Linked DNA regions of Caenorhabditis elegans. The protein of the gene in region 2 interacts with the protein of the main gene of each other region in a biochemical or structural test. Each region holds a gene or a part of one and is shown on either strand. Other genes may lie near its edges. The genes, in order: ifa-1 and ifp-1.

Region 1 (5,385 bases), 1.6 Mb from region 2:
GGAGCATTTACAGAAATCGCCGAATCAATTCGTTTATCACTGGTCTAGTTGTCACAAGTTTTTTGGTAACCGCTGTACAACGAATAACGAATATTAATTTCTGACAGTCAGAAGAACACAAAAAGCATACATATCTCAAAATCGCTTTCTATTTTTTTATTGAAATAATATAGCAAACTGTAGTGCTCAGTGCAAATTTAAAGCTCATTTAAAAATGCAATAGATGTGCTTTTAGATGGAACGCTGAAAAAGTATTTGGTAACAATTCCAGCGGAAAAATATTTTGTTAAAACCCTAGACAGTTTTGTAGTAGCTTCATTTTCTCGAATCAAGCGCAGTGACCATAGTTTCAAAATATTTTCCCTTGTTTGGCATACGCTCCTACTTCAAAATTATATTTAAAAATTTAAAACATTATATTCGTGCAACTGGAATTTTAAGAAGGACAACACTTTAAACTTCTCAGTAACGCGAGTTTTAGATGTCGACGTCGGCTCATCTCGCCGATATACAATTATTTACGGCATTTCGTTCAGCTCTATTGATTAGTAACCAAAAACATACGCTTCCATTTCAGGTGGGCGAATTCCGACGATTTTGAGAATTTTACATCATCTGTTCTATGAAAATAACCTACGCAAATACATTGTGATCAAATTTTTTTTTGATGTTTGAATGATAAATGATTTATTGAAATAAGGTCAAATAAATGCGCAGAAATCAGCATGAAAGTTACAAAATGGGAAGAAGATTTTGGGATTTTCAACAAGAAATTGTCACAATATCTAGTTAATTGTTGGGAAGTCGCCTGATTAGGCAGTGCTCTGGCGTTGGATGTGGGTAGCACGTTCCTGAAATTAATATCAATGTTGTAAATATAATGACATTTAATTGTTGATCTCACCTCTCCTTCTTTGTTGAAGAGGATGGTTTGGACGTTGTTTCCGCTTCCGAACGAGTCTTCAGCATCATAGACCAATTGATCTGGTGGTGAGGCAACTCCTTGGTTACGGGCGAAGATTTTGAGGGTCTTTCCGGCACGAAGGACAAAGTCTCTTGGAAGCGTGTAGACATTCTCACGTTTTCCGTCGATACGTCTCTTCAACTTCCACTCACCGATAGCCTGAAAGAGAACAAAAAATATTTGAAACTGTTGTGATTCAAGTTCCTACCTCGTCCTTGGCACGATGTGTGTTCTGGAGGACGATGAACTTTCCATCCGGCGATGCCTCGTGGATAGAAACATTTCCCTTTGCAGAACGCTGGAACGATTGACGGGATGCAGTTTCGCCCTTGACGACTCTCATCGTCTCTGAAAAAGGATGTATGTTTTAATGGAAAAAATTGTCTTTCTGCTACCGGTATCGGTTTCCTGTGTGATAGCATGGGTCTTGACAACCTGTTCGACAAGTTGCTTGAGTCCAGCACGGTTCTCTTCTCCTTCGAGCATCTTTCTGTAGATGGCGATTTCGGCATCCAAAGTTTGTTTGGTATCCAGGAGCATTTGCAATTCGACCATAAGGGCTTGGCATTCCTCACGCATTTTGCGGATTTGGGAATCTCTGTCGTTGAGGGCTGCTTCATAAGATCTCTGATCATCTTCCAATTGGTAGTTGAGCTCTTGAATTTGTTTCTCGAGGAGAGAGTTGCGGCTTTCAAGATCAGCGAGCTTTCCACGCAAATCGCTGAGTTGGGTGCGGAGTCTTTTGACTTCTTCTTTGGCATACCCTTGTTCCATGTTCTGTCTGGCAGACTGCGTTTGGATCTCTTGGACCTTAAGACGATACCAGGATTCCATGTCATTACGGTGAACGTTGTTGACTTGGTCATATTCCTCACGGATGTCACGAATAGCCGAGGAGAGTTCGTTCTTGAAGAACTCGCGGTTTTCTGGAGTAGTATCACGAGAAGCCAAAGTTTGAAGCTCCTTGATCTCATTGTCATGGACACGACGCAAGAAATCAATCTCCTCAAGAAGAGTTTGAACTTGGTTTTGGTAGTCAATACGATTGAGGGTTTCTTGATCCAAGTCGGTACGGGCTCTTTGAAGCTCAGAAAGCAAACGCTGATTCTCTTGCTTGATCCGCTTCACCTCATCCTCAAGCTGAGCAATACGACGTTTCAGAAGGCTAATTTCAGCTTCAAGATTAGAAAGGGTTACTAGAAGTGCGTCGATCTTAGCGCGATCCTGTTCACGGCCCTTGGTGGCATCTTCCAATCTGAAAAATACATTTTGTAGAAAAAGTATAATAACGGTAATATGCTGTTCATAATTTTCAAAACATATGTTCGTACTTTCTGCGCATCTCAGCGAGTTCATCTTGCATCTTCTTGAGTTGACCTTCCATATCCTTGCGTTGCTTATTGGTTTCATCAATCAGCTTTTGAGCATCCTATAATATAGTTTTCTAACCAAAAGTTTCCTTTCTGTATTTTCCTACCACAAGTTCTCCCTCATACATATTACGAATGTTGTGCGTGTCTTTTCCCCATTTGGAACGAAGTGCGTCAAGATCGGCTGCCAATTTTCTATTCTGGGCTTCTAGGAAACGGACCTAAAAAACAACTATTGGGTGTGGTCCATCTTATTCCTATTACACACCTTTTCGATGTAGCTAGCAAGTCGATCGTTCAAATCGCTCATTTCTTTCTTCTCACGTTCACGAGAGTCACGGATGGTTGATGCAGCATTTTGTCCAAATGGCGACAAGCCGGATCCAGCACCTGAGCGCATCTCGGTCACAATTTTGAGCATACGATCTTGGGCTGGAATATGTTGATTTAAATGTTTTGCACAGACAACAATAAACTTACAAGTAACGTTTCCGGTTGTACGCCCTCCGAGCGGAGCTCTAGCTGAAGGTGTTGTGGAAGTGAAAGACATCGCTGCAAATCGTAAATTTCTATTGTGAAAGTGAAAAGGGCCGACTGTACTCGGCAGCTTCGAAATTTCAAAATGAGGTTGTGAGTTGTATGGCAACCCCTGACTGCCGTAATGTGTGACCAAGGAATTAGTCGGAGGCTGACTGTAGAGACAAAAGCGGAGTCTCAACGGTGCGCAAACTAGGTGGGCGTCAAATTTCTTGCACTGCTCCTCACTTTTTATTCAACATTTTCTACTCCTCCTCCTTCATTGCTACCAACCGCAGCTTCCTCCCACACTAATGATAATAGCATGTAGACAAAAGGGATTAAACGAAAATTGCAATTTTTTGAGTTAGTTGAAATTGAGGGCACAAGAAAGGCTTACTCTTTTCAATCACTTCGTAATTGACAGTTCGTGTGGAACTTTGCTCGCTTCGAGCGCTAGAAGCGCTTGATCGTCGCGAAGATGGAAGAGAAACAATATAACCTTCCATAGTCAGAAAATGAAATTTTTTGTTCCTCAACTCTTTTTATACATGGCGGCAGAACAAAACAGGCAATGCAAAATTAATATATTTCAGTATTCTAGACTGTTGTATAAAGAGAAAAAAACCTATGAGTAACCTATGAAAATCTATGAGGAGAAATAGAAAACTCAATCAAATATTATTATTGCCCTTTTCCACGAAAGGAAATGAGATCATAGTTGTTTGCCTATGTATATTTATATTGATTCAAGTCGGTGTTTGGAATTTTTTTGCAAAGGGAGGCGTCAAGAATCACTTTAAAATGGGTGTGAAGTGAGGACGGAACGGCGGCTTCTTGATATCTGGCGCGAATGCGGAAAAAAGAATAGGTGTGAGGGATGGGCGCGTCCTCCAAAAATCATCTCATCCTCAACTCAGTCAACCCTTACGTCGTTACGATTCCTCTCGATTCTACTTTTTTCGCCTATTGGACATGCGTTTTTGCATAAATTCATACGTTTCGAGGCTTTGCTAAAGTGCGAAATGACATTTGAGATTTTTTTGGGTTGAGGTGATTCATTTCAATTTGCTACCGTGCCTACGCACTTTTGTGGAAGAGGAGACAAAAACTAGACAACGCCTCGGAATATATGTTTGTACAAAATTGTTCAAAAATTTGAAGTGAGAAGAAAATTAGCCTTGAATTAACTTTGAGTACTCACGAGTAGTTTATTGATTGATGACTAGTTCAAATGGAATAACGGTGCAAATATGTTTGAAAAAGTTTAGAAACACCTACATATATAAGTTGCGAGAATATGTGTTAGTTGTCTGGTTTTCACAAAAGCGATTAAATCTGGGAACACTCCTATTCTACTTCTGTCACTTTCAAGATTGAATATGGATTCGTTTAAATGAAATTCAAGCAACGGATTGAGCTTTAACTATGTAAAACACTGTATTTTTTCAGCAAACACGGTGTTTTATATTAGCAAGAGTATTTAAATTGCTCAGGTCTAAAAAAAAGTGATGTTTTTTAAACTATATATACATTCAGAAATGATCTACCAAGTTTTTGTAAATAAACTCCTGTTAGATAATTTATTTTGCCGAAGTGAATGCAATTTTCAGCCAGTTACTTACCCGGACGAGTAGTAGTGTACATTTTTATATAAAAAAGTAGTAGGATCTAGTTGCAAAAATATTCACTAGTATAAGATAAGCCTATGCGGATAAATGTGATGCTTCAATGACAATCGGAAAGATATCTCAATAAAAAATTGCGACAAGGCACAAGAAACGAGCCTCTTATTTACCGATGTGCTTGTTCATCTTGCACTCCGTCTTATCTCACTGTTTCATTAATCTTTTTTCTTTAAAAAACGCATGCCTGTAATGTTATTTTTTCAAAGTTTTGAATTTTCAATCGCTGATCAGTTAGATTTGTTAGTCTATGGTAAGCACCTTACCGCGAAATACAAAGGCAAACATTCCGCAACTCACCTCCTGGAAAGTCATCGGAATAATTTAAGTAGTTAAAATGAAGAAACTCACTTTCTCTGGTAATCTCCATCATTTTTGAAATGTTGATTGGTTAGGTACCGCTTCTCACTGAGAGAAGTATCCGTTTGAACGAGTTTCTGGAAAAATGGGAAGATAAACAGTTTTCTCTGCGTTCCAGCATGGCGGTGTACATAAAAAAGATATCTCGGCTCAAACATCCAGGGCTCTCGGCTATTGAACAATTTTCGAAAAGTACATAGTAAAAGGGAGAGGGGTTAAAATGGAACAGAATGATGTGTACAGTAAACAAAAATAAATGGCAGCGGCAAAGAGATGAGGCAGTAGCAAATGCATAGAAAACGGCGGCCCCGTGGCAGGTGAAACTTCATAATTACTGAGGATCATCTACTGTCAACCGGTCTAAAATGAGCGAGAGATCGTGTGAAAGTCGGGGACACTGCGATGGTTGCAGTACAAAAAAGTCGACGCACATTTCATCAGTTTGAGTTGTTTTTAGAACTCAAAATCTCGCAATTCCCACAATTTTAAA
Region 2 (6,862 bases):
ACTTCCGCCAATTGGATTTGTTCGATGGAGCGTACTTGCATTATTTTTTTATTAATTTATTTTATTTTTCTCATTATTTCACTGATTTTCTTAATTATTCCTGTATTTTTATAGTAAAGAGAACTGAAAAGCACGATAAATGCAAAATGTTTGTTAAAGCAATTTCCCCATTGACCGCACTCCACCTTTAAGTGTTTTAACCCGGAACTCATCCTATTTTTAATTGTAAATATGTTATTTTTCACTTTCCTAACACGAACAATAAAAAAACATTTGTAAAACAATAAAAAAACATTGATCACACTGAACACAAAAAAATTTCCGACAATTGTTTAGGAGCAAACGACATTTACCCAAGAAATGTGCGTACCAACTGGAAAGGCATTTGTACTCGTTGAGGAATACTAATTTTGTTCTTTCTTCCAGGCGTGTTTTTGATCTCAGAGCTCGAAGAGTGATGATGAACAAAACGAAAACCGGAAAAGAAGCAAGTGGGCGTCATAGTTGTCGCACTTTTTGAATATATTCAATACAAGAATACAGTAAAGAAAAAAGAAAGAAACAGGGAATTTTTTCCTTGCTGATTCTTTTAATAGAGAAGTCCTGAGCAGTTCAAGGATTCCTTATCAGTTATTTTGCGTAAAGTAACTATGATTCACAAATTACCAATAGAAAATGCAGTTTTCACATTGGAAAAACAAAAAAACAAAAGCTATTGAACATTAAAAAATCGGTACTTGTGTGTTTTATGTATGCCCTCATTTAAAATTTAAATTGAGCTTTCATTAATTTCTCCTTTCAATATAAACGTGGTACGCATCATTCTTCGTTGGGCTTAGAAATGGCTATTTTCTAAGCTTAAAATTAAAAAATATTCCACACGTTTTTATTTTTTAGACTTATGGAAGTATCATTAAAAATAGAAACAAATTTGAAAAAGGAGCATTTTGAATTCGAGGAGCTAAAGCGGCATAACTGTTTTTTTTTTGCGTGCGAAAAAATTTTCATTAGCAAATTTTTTGTAAAATTTATTCTTTGGCCAATTATACGGCTGAATGTGAAGATGAATTTGTTTTTAATAAATATATGGTTTCTACATGAGTTCTCTCAATTAACCAGGTAAGTTGATTATGTTTAAAACAAATCGGAAATGGGCTGAATTGAAGCCCAGAGCTTCAATTCAATAGGTTGGAGAAATTACTGAGTTTCTAAATAAAAAGTATTTTAACAAATGACTCAGTTTCTCGAACTTCCTGAAATGTAAAAAACATTATCCTGTAAATTAATATTTGCAACTTGCAATGAATCATTTCCACCTCCTACAACAATTACACCATTGTTAGTACAGTTTGATTGCTCCACATCGGTGCATCAGTCTCTCCCCCTCATCTCCATAGACCACACAAATGTCTTCTCCCTCTTGATTCATCTATCTCTCGCTTCAAATAGCTCTTTATTTTAATAGTGATAAGAAACGTGCTAAAGTACCGCCAACCGAGTGAAACATGCTCACTAGCATTCTTCACCTACTTTACTATCACAATGGCATGCCATTAAACATTTTCCAAGAGTCGATTCGGTTTCCTGTCATCACGACTGTGAAAATTCGCGGTTTTCACTCGTGCTCGTACACCTATTGCATTTTTTAATTCACCTTTTCAAGTTTTGATAAGAAGTTTTACGCACTCGATTATTTTCTGCTTATTCTGCAATTTTTTGTCCTTTCAAGTCGCACTTTTATAATTTTTCATTTTGCTTTTAGAATTTTCTTGCTTTCTGGTCTTATGGTTACTGTTTCAGCGCATGGATTCCGCTAACGCTAGGGATTGTCTACTACATCTGGCAAGAGCTAAGCTCTCTGAGCGACAAGACCTTGTTCAGCTCAACGATCAGTTTGTGGATATCATCGAACATGTGAGTTTGTGTTATTGCCTATCATCTCTTCTATGTACTGTAAAACAAAATATTTAATATTTTCAGGTCCACTATATGGAAGCTGAGCACACTGCTTTGGAACACGACTACAATTTGCTAAAAAGTGGAGTCCAGAGCGACAGTAGTGGAATTAATGAAATTTACAATGTTGAGATCAGGGTGAGTGTCAATTGTTGCAGCTGTCTTATTCACGCTTCCAGCATTCTTGTTCTTTGTGCGCTATCAGTTTTCACTATTTACTTTCTGTGTGGGCTGAAACCATCAGTTTCCCTCACACAAGTTTTAGCGGCGATGAACTTGTTTACTCGTTAAAAGAAACGAAGCCTACAGTTTTAATGACTTAAAAGTACATTGAAGTTGTGCTCTTTCGTAGAGTACGATAATTTCCTTTGCTTGCGTGTCGCGTTAACTACAAACAATAATCTTTACGATCGTTTGTTTCCGAAGAATTCATTTCTTTAATTATCATTAGAGAATAAAGGGAGTGGCAACTAGAAACGTGCAAGCCGCCTACTATTGATAGCAAACATACTATCATTCTGGTCAGCTGTAAAAAATGAAACTTCTGATTAAAAACAATTTGAAGTATACAATTAATTCATACGATGTATCAATATTATCATTGTTTTTCAGACTGTCAGATCGGGAATTGAAGAAATTAACCGAAGCCGGCACGAACTACTAAATGAGCAAACCCAGTTGTCCCATCAAGTCAAAGAAGCCGAACAACTTTGGAGACACACTGCAAAATCAGCTTTGGGGGTTCCCAAAGAGGTTGATGATGAGTTCCATAGAATCTGTCATATCAAGATGGAAGATTGTATCACTAAGAGAAGAATCAAGTATATGGAGGATAAGCTCAGACTGATCAAACAGAACAATGGAAGAATTTTTGAGCATATTAATTTGATGAGAATGGTGGGTTCGATTTTTTAAAAGACTGTTAATACATGCAAAAACAATAGAGGTTCAATTTGATAGATTTGGAAAAAAAACTCATAAGAACTTTTCGGATATCAGTTTTTTGGGATAGATTTAAATCACACTGGTATTTTGATTGTTGAAATATATTCAGTAGGTACATATATAAATTTTTTTTTTCAAAAACTTATTTTTTTATTTTTTCGAAATGATTTGTTTTCATTTCGCCCAACACGGAAATAATGATTGTAATGCTAAATATAATTTTGAGCCAAAAACTATCTGTTAAAAAAAAAAAACATACAAAAAACTTAGCTGGCTCAAGTTTTCTGTTTTTCAGTTAGTAGCGTGAATGTCATGAAAGACTTGCACTGCCTCTCAAAAAACGCGAGGTTCCTTGTGATAAGCTAAATTTTTTGTCAACACAGTTAAGAAGTTTGACTCATTATCTTATTCATTATCGACTGTGAATTCTCTATATTCAGAGAAAAGATCAAGCTGTCAGTCTGCAACAAGAATATCTTCTTCGCAAGAATGAGTTGTTGCACAGTATCCGAAATATGGAGGAAGACAACAAAAAGATTATCATGAATGAGCACAAATACTTTGTTCGTGATCGCAATGCGGATCGTCACGTCTTCCGCGATCAACTTCGCAAGGCAATTGCTGATATTCGTGCTGATTATGAGGCTAACAGATTGAGAAACGAAGAAGAAATTCGAATTCGCTTGGAAAGGGAAATCCATCGAATGAATACCACTATGCCAGGAGTAGTTTGCTATGACAAACTGAGAGAGGAGCTTTCGATTGTTAAGAACAATCTTTCTGGATTGCAGAAACAAGTTTCTGAAGTTGAAATCAGAGTGAGAATTTGAAATTATTTTCCATGATGATTGTGTAATTTTCAGAACAATTCTCTCACTCAACAAATTGAATTCTATCGTCTGGAAATTTCGGAAAATAACAAGCTTTTCGAGGATACTTTGGAATTCAAAATAAAGGAAATTGAGAAGATGAGAGAGCAATGCACTGCCATCAGTGTTGAATTGGAGAAACTTTGTGACTTAAACATTGTATGTTGTATTATTTTGTGTGTTTATTAAATTGTTAACGTTTTCAGGACTTGCAAAAGGAAATCGCAAAATATCGGGAACTTCTCGACAGATCTGGAGATCCTCGTGCAAATGCGCCAAGTACTCAAGTTATAGCAAGCGCGCTTAGTCGACAGAACTACAGCAGCATTTCTGACCACCATAGCCGAACTTCTTCTGGAATAGTTCAGCACACTGCTCATCACGCTGTGAGAGATTCCTCGTCGTCCAGAACTGGTACCACTATTCATGAGACCATCACTCACACGCCAATTCCAATTCCTGCTACACTTCCTGTTCAACCAATTCGTGAATATACTTATTCGAGGGACGCGAGCCCGATTCGTCCATCATATACTCCGTACCAGCAGGAGTCTCGTGCTGATAGCCGATCTTCTCTCAGGGAGAGAATTCAAATCGAGACTCTCCAAGGCACACTTCCGGTTCTGCCAAGCCATTCGGTTGAAACAATTCGTGCTTCAGATAACACCCGATTAGTGAGAGACCTTAGCGCGGGAGGTCAGATTAACACAACACAGATTAACAATCCATACGCGTCTCGTACTCCAACTTCATCGGTCAATGATAGGATTGCAAGCGAACGTCGTGATAGTGAAATTCGTCGCAACGATGCTTTACATCAACCTTATCCAATTGGTGGTGCCGTTCCTCGAGTTGAGCCTACAATTTTTAATGAACGTGCTCCCGGTTACACTCATATTAATAGCAACTTCCCGCTAATTACGCCAGTGACTGAAGGAGCTACTGTCCCCTCATACTACGATACTTTTAATCGGAACTCGAGCCAAAGAGGGCCACATCATTCGAGCTATCATGCAGCAACAGGCTCAGTGAGCAATAGCATCTCCACTACTCTACTCAATGAAGGATCAATTGAACATAGCAGTAGTGAGTGGAAGACGGCTTTTAATATTGACTGACAACACCTCGTCAAATGCTAAGCTTTGAGACGTTTTTAAGCTGTCGAAAACTATCGTATCATACCATTTTAGTTTTTTCCAGATTAGTTTGAAAAAAGAGTTACTGATAAGACAAACGTACACAACCACCACAAACGAATCGTAAAATAACGTTTACGATTAAAAGTTTACTGTTACGTGTATTATGTAACGACAGTTGAGAGAACTATCACGCTAGAAAAATATTTATAAAAAAATACAAAGAAACGCATTCCAGGTTCCGATAGTGTTGACGAGGACAACTTCCAGAGATTCACTAGATGGTACAAGGGGAGAGTGAAGATTTCGGTAACACTCTTTGCTTTTTAATATTATTAGGACTGAACAATTCTTACAGGATGTGACTGCAGATTTTGTTCAACTTGTAAATAGAAGCTCGAAAAAATCGGCAGACGTTGGTGGCTTCAAACTTATTCACGAGTTTGGAAACAAGAGCGTATATGTTGATCTTCCAGTTGGATTGATCCTTGCACCCAAGGATAGCTTGAAGGTTATGCTTTTTCTAGTGTAGTTTATCAGTTCTTATATAATAGCATTCAGGATCCTAGAATTCACAAATTCAAGTTGATTTGCTTTGAAAACAGTGTTAACTTGTAGAAAAAAAAAATTGTTTTTTTTCAAACGGCGCAAAACTGAATACTACTTCTATGTCACCGATAAACTAGAAACTGTAAATTATTTTTTACAGATCTACGCTCGTGGAGCAACTCATGAAAGAGGAGCAGTTATTGCTGAAATTGACTTCTTCGATACCACCATCCATACCAATACATCAATCAGAAACACGAATAATGAGGTAAATAGTCTTTGATTTACAATTGTAAACACAACTGATTGACATCTGGCCTCTTGCCAATAACTTTGATTACTCCAATTATATTTCAGGTGAAATCGTGGTTTGTTTACACGAGCAACACTGAAATCGGAGATGCAGACCATCATCATCATTGATACATTACTAATGCCAAATTTCTGATAACATGATAATTCTAACAACAAATATATATTTTATTTTCTCTTGTTTTCATTTTTCACACTTTTTATCAAGAAACTTCTACTCGTTGCCCCTATTTTTTTCCACTCACTTCTTGAAAAAGGAAATAATTCTTTAATTCAATCCCAGTAATTCGTATTTCTTTCATATTCTGAATTTAAAATAAACCTATTACTCAAAAAAAGCTCACTTGCCCCGATTCAATTATAAACATCTGCTCTGTTTCGAAACTCTGCTAAATGTAATTTTTTTTTATTCAAAAATTAGAGATTAAAATCGAAATTATTTAAAGAGAAGAAGCAGTTTTCAGCTTTTGTTTTTTTTGAAAATCAGTTTTGATGGAAGTTTGAATTCTATTTTTTCTTCACAAAATTCCAGCGGTTTTTTTTTTCAAAAATAAACGGTTAAGCTACAGAGTATTTTCCACTAGTTCATCTGGCAATACACTTCAACTTCCAAGTAAAAATATTGCTTTCCCGTGCGGTCAATTATTGCTAAACCAATTTTATTCGTTGGACTGTTTTGAGTGACCCAAGAAAATAATGTTTTAAAAACTGTTCCAAGTACAAAAAAGTACCTCAGATGAGATAAAAGTTGATTATTATCATTTAAAAGTGAACCGTATCAAGTTTAAATTTAAAATGATTCACTCATTAATTAACGGGGGTGTTTGTGTGGGTTGAGTAAAGGCATAGACAACTCATATCATAACTCATTATCGGCGCGCCTGTCTTCCACTTACCCTCTTTTTCAAACATTGTCACCTAACCCGATCCTCTACCATTAGGATATTCACATCTGGCACTGCTAAGTGACCAATTCATATCCCTTTCCTCTTTTTTTCTTTGTTTTGGGCTCTGTTTCTCTTTCTTCCATCTCCATTGGATACATGTTTTCAAATTCTTCGCCACATTTTTTTATTTTCATCTACCACTTTTCCA

What was found.
Region 1: the proteins of ifp-1 (region 2) and ifa-1 form a complex in vitro, tested with the Caenorhabditis elegans proteins (one study listed by BioGRID).

What each region holds. Positions count from the first base shown.
Region 1 is NC_003284.9:11,270,771-11,276,155, reverse strand, and holds ifa-1 (Intermediate filament protein A), read right to left. Parts: upstream 3,360-5,385; coding exon 3,251-3,359; intron 2,887-3,250; coding exon 2,815-2,886; intron 2,767-2,814; coding exon 2,603-2,766; intron 2,556-2,602; coding exon 2,442-2,555; intron 2,394-2,441; coding exon 2,296-2,393; intron 2,220-2,295; coding exon 1,360-2,219; intron 1,313-1,359; coding exon 1,173-1,312; intron 1,124-1,172; coding exon 905-1,123; intron 852-904; coding exon 813-851; 3' UTR 674-812; downstream 1-673. UniProt on the Caenorhabditis elegans protein: Cytoplasmic intermediate filaments make up the structural component of the cytoskeleton providing mechanical strength to cells.
Region 2 is NC_003284.9:9,675,108-9,681,969, reverse strand, and holds ifp-1 (Intermediate filament protein ifp-1), read left to right. Parts: upstream 1-1,800; 5' UTR 1,801-1,803; coding exon 1,804-1,914; intron 1,915-1,980; coding exon 1,981-2,094; intron 2,095-2,568; coding exon 2,569-2,853; intron 2,854-3,341; coding exon 3,342-3,719; intron 3,720-3,764; coding exon 3,765-3,929; intron 3,930-3,976; coding exon 3,977-4,856; intron 4,857-5,144; coding exon 5,145-5,215; intron 5,216-5,264; coding exon 5,265-5,417; intron 5,418-5,615; coding exon 5,616-5,723; intron 5,724-5,812; coding exon 5,813-5,878; 3' UTR 5,879-6,097; downstream 6,098-6,862. UniProt on the Caenorhabditis elegans protein: Cytoplasmic intermediate filaments provide mechanical strength to cells. Not essential protein.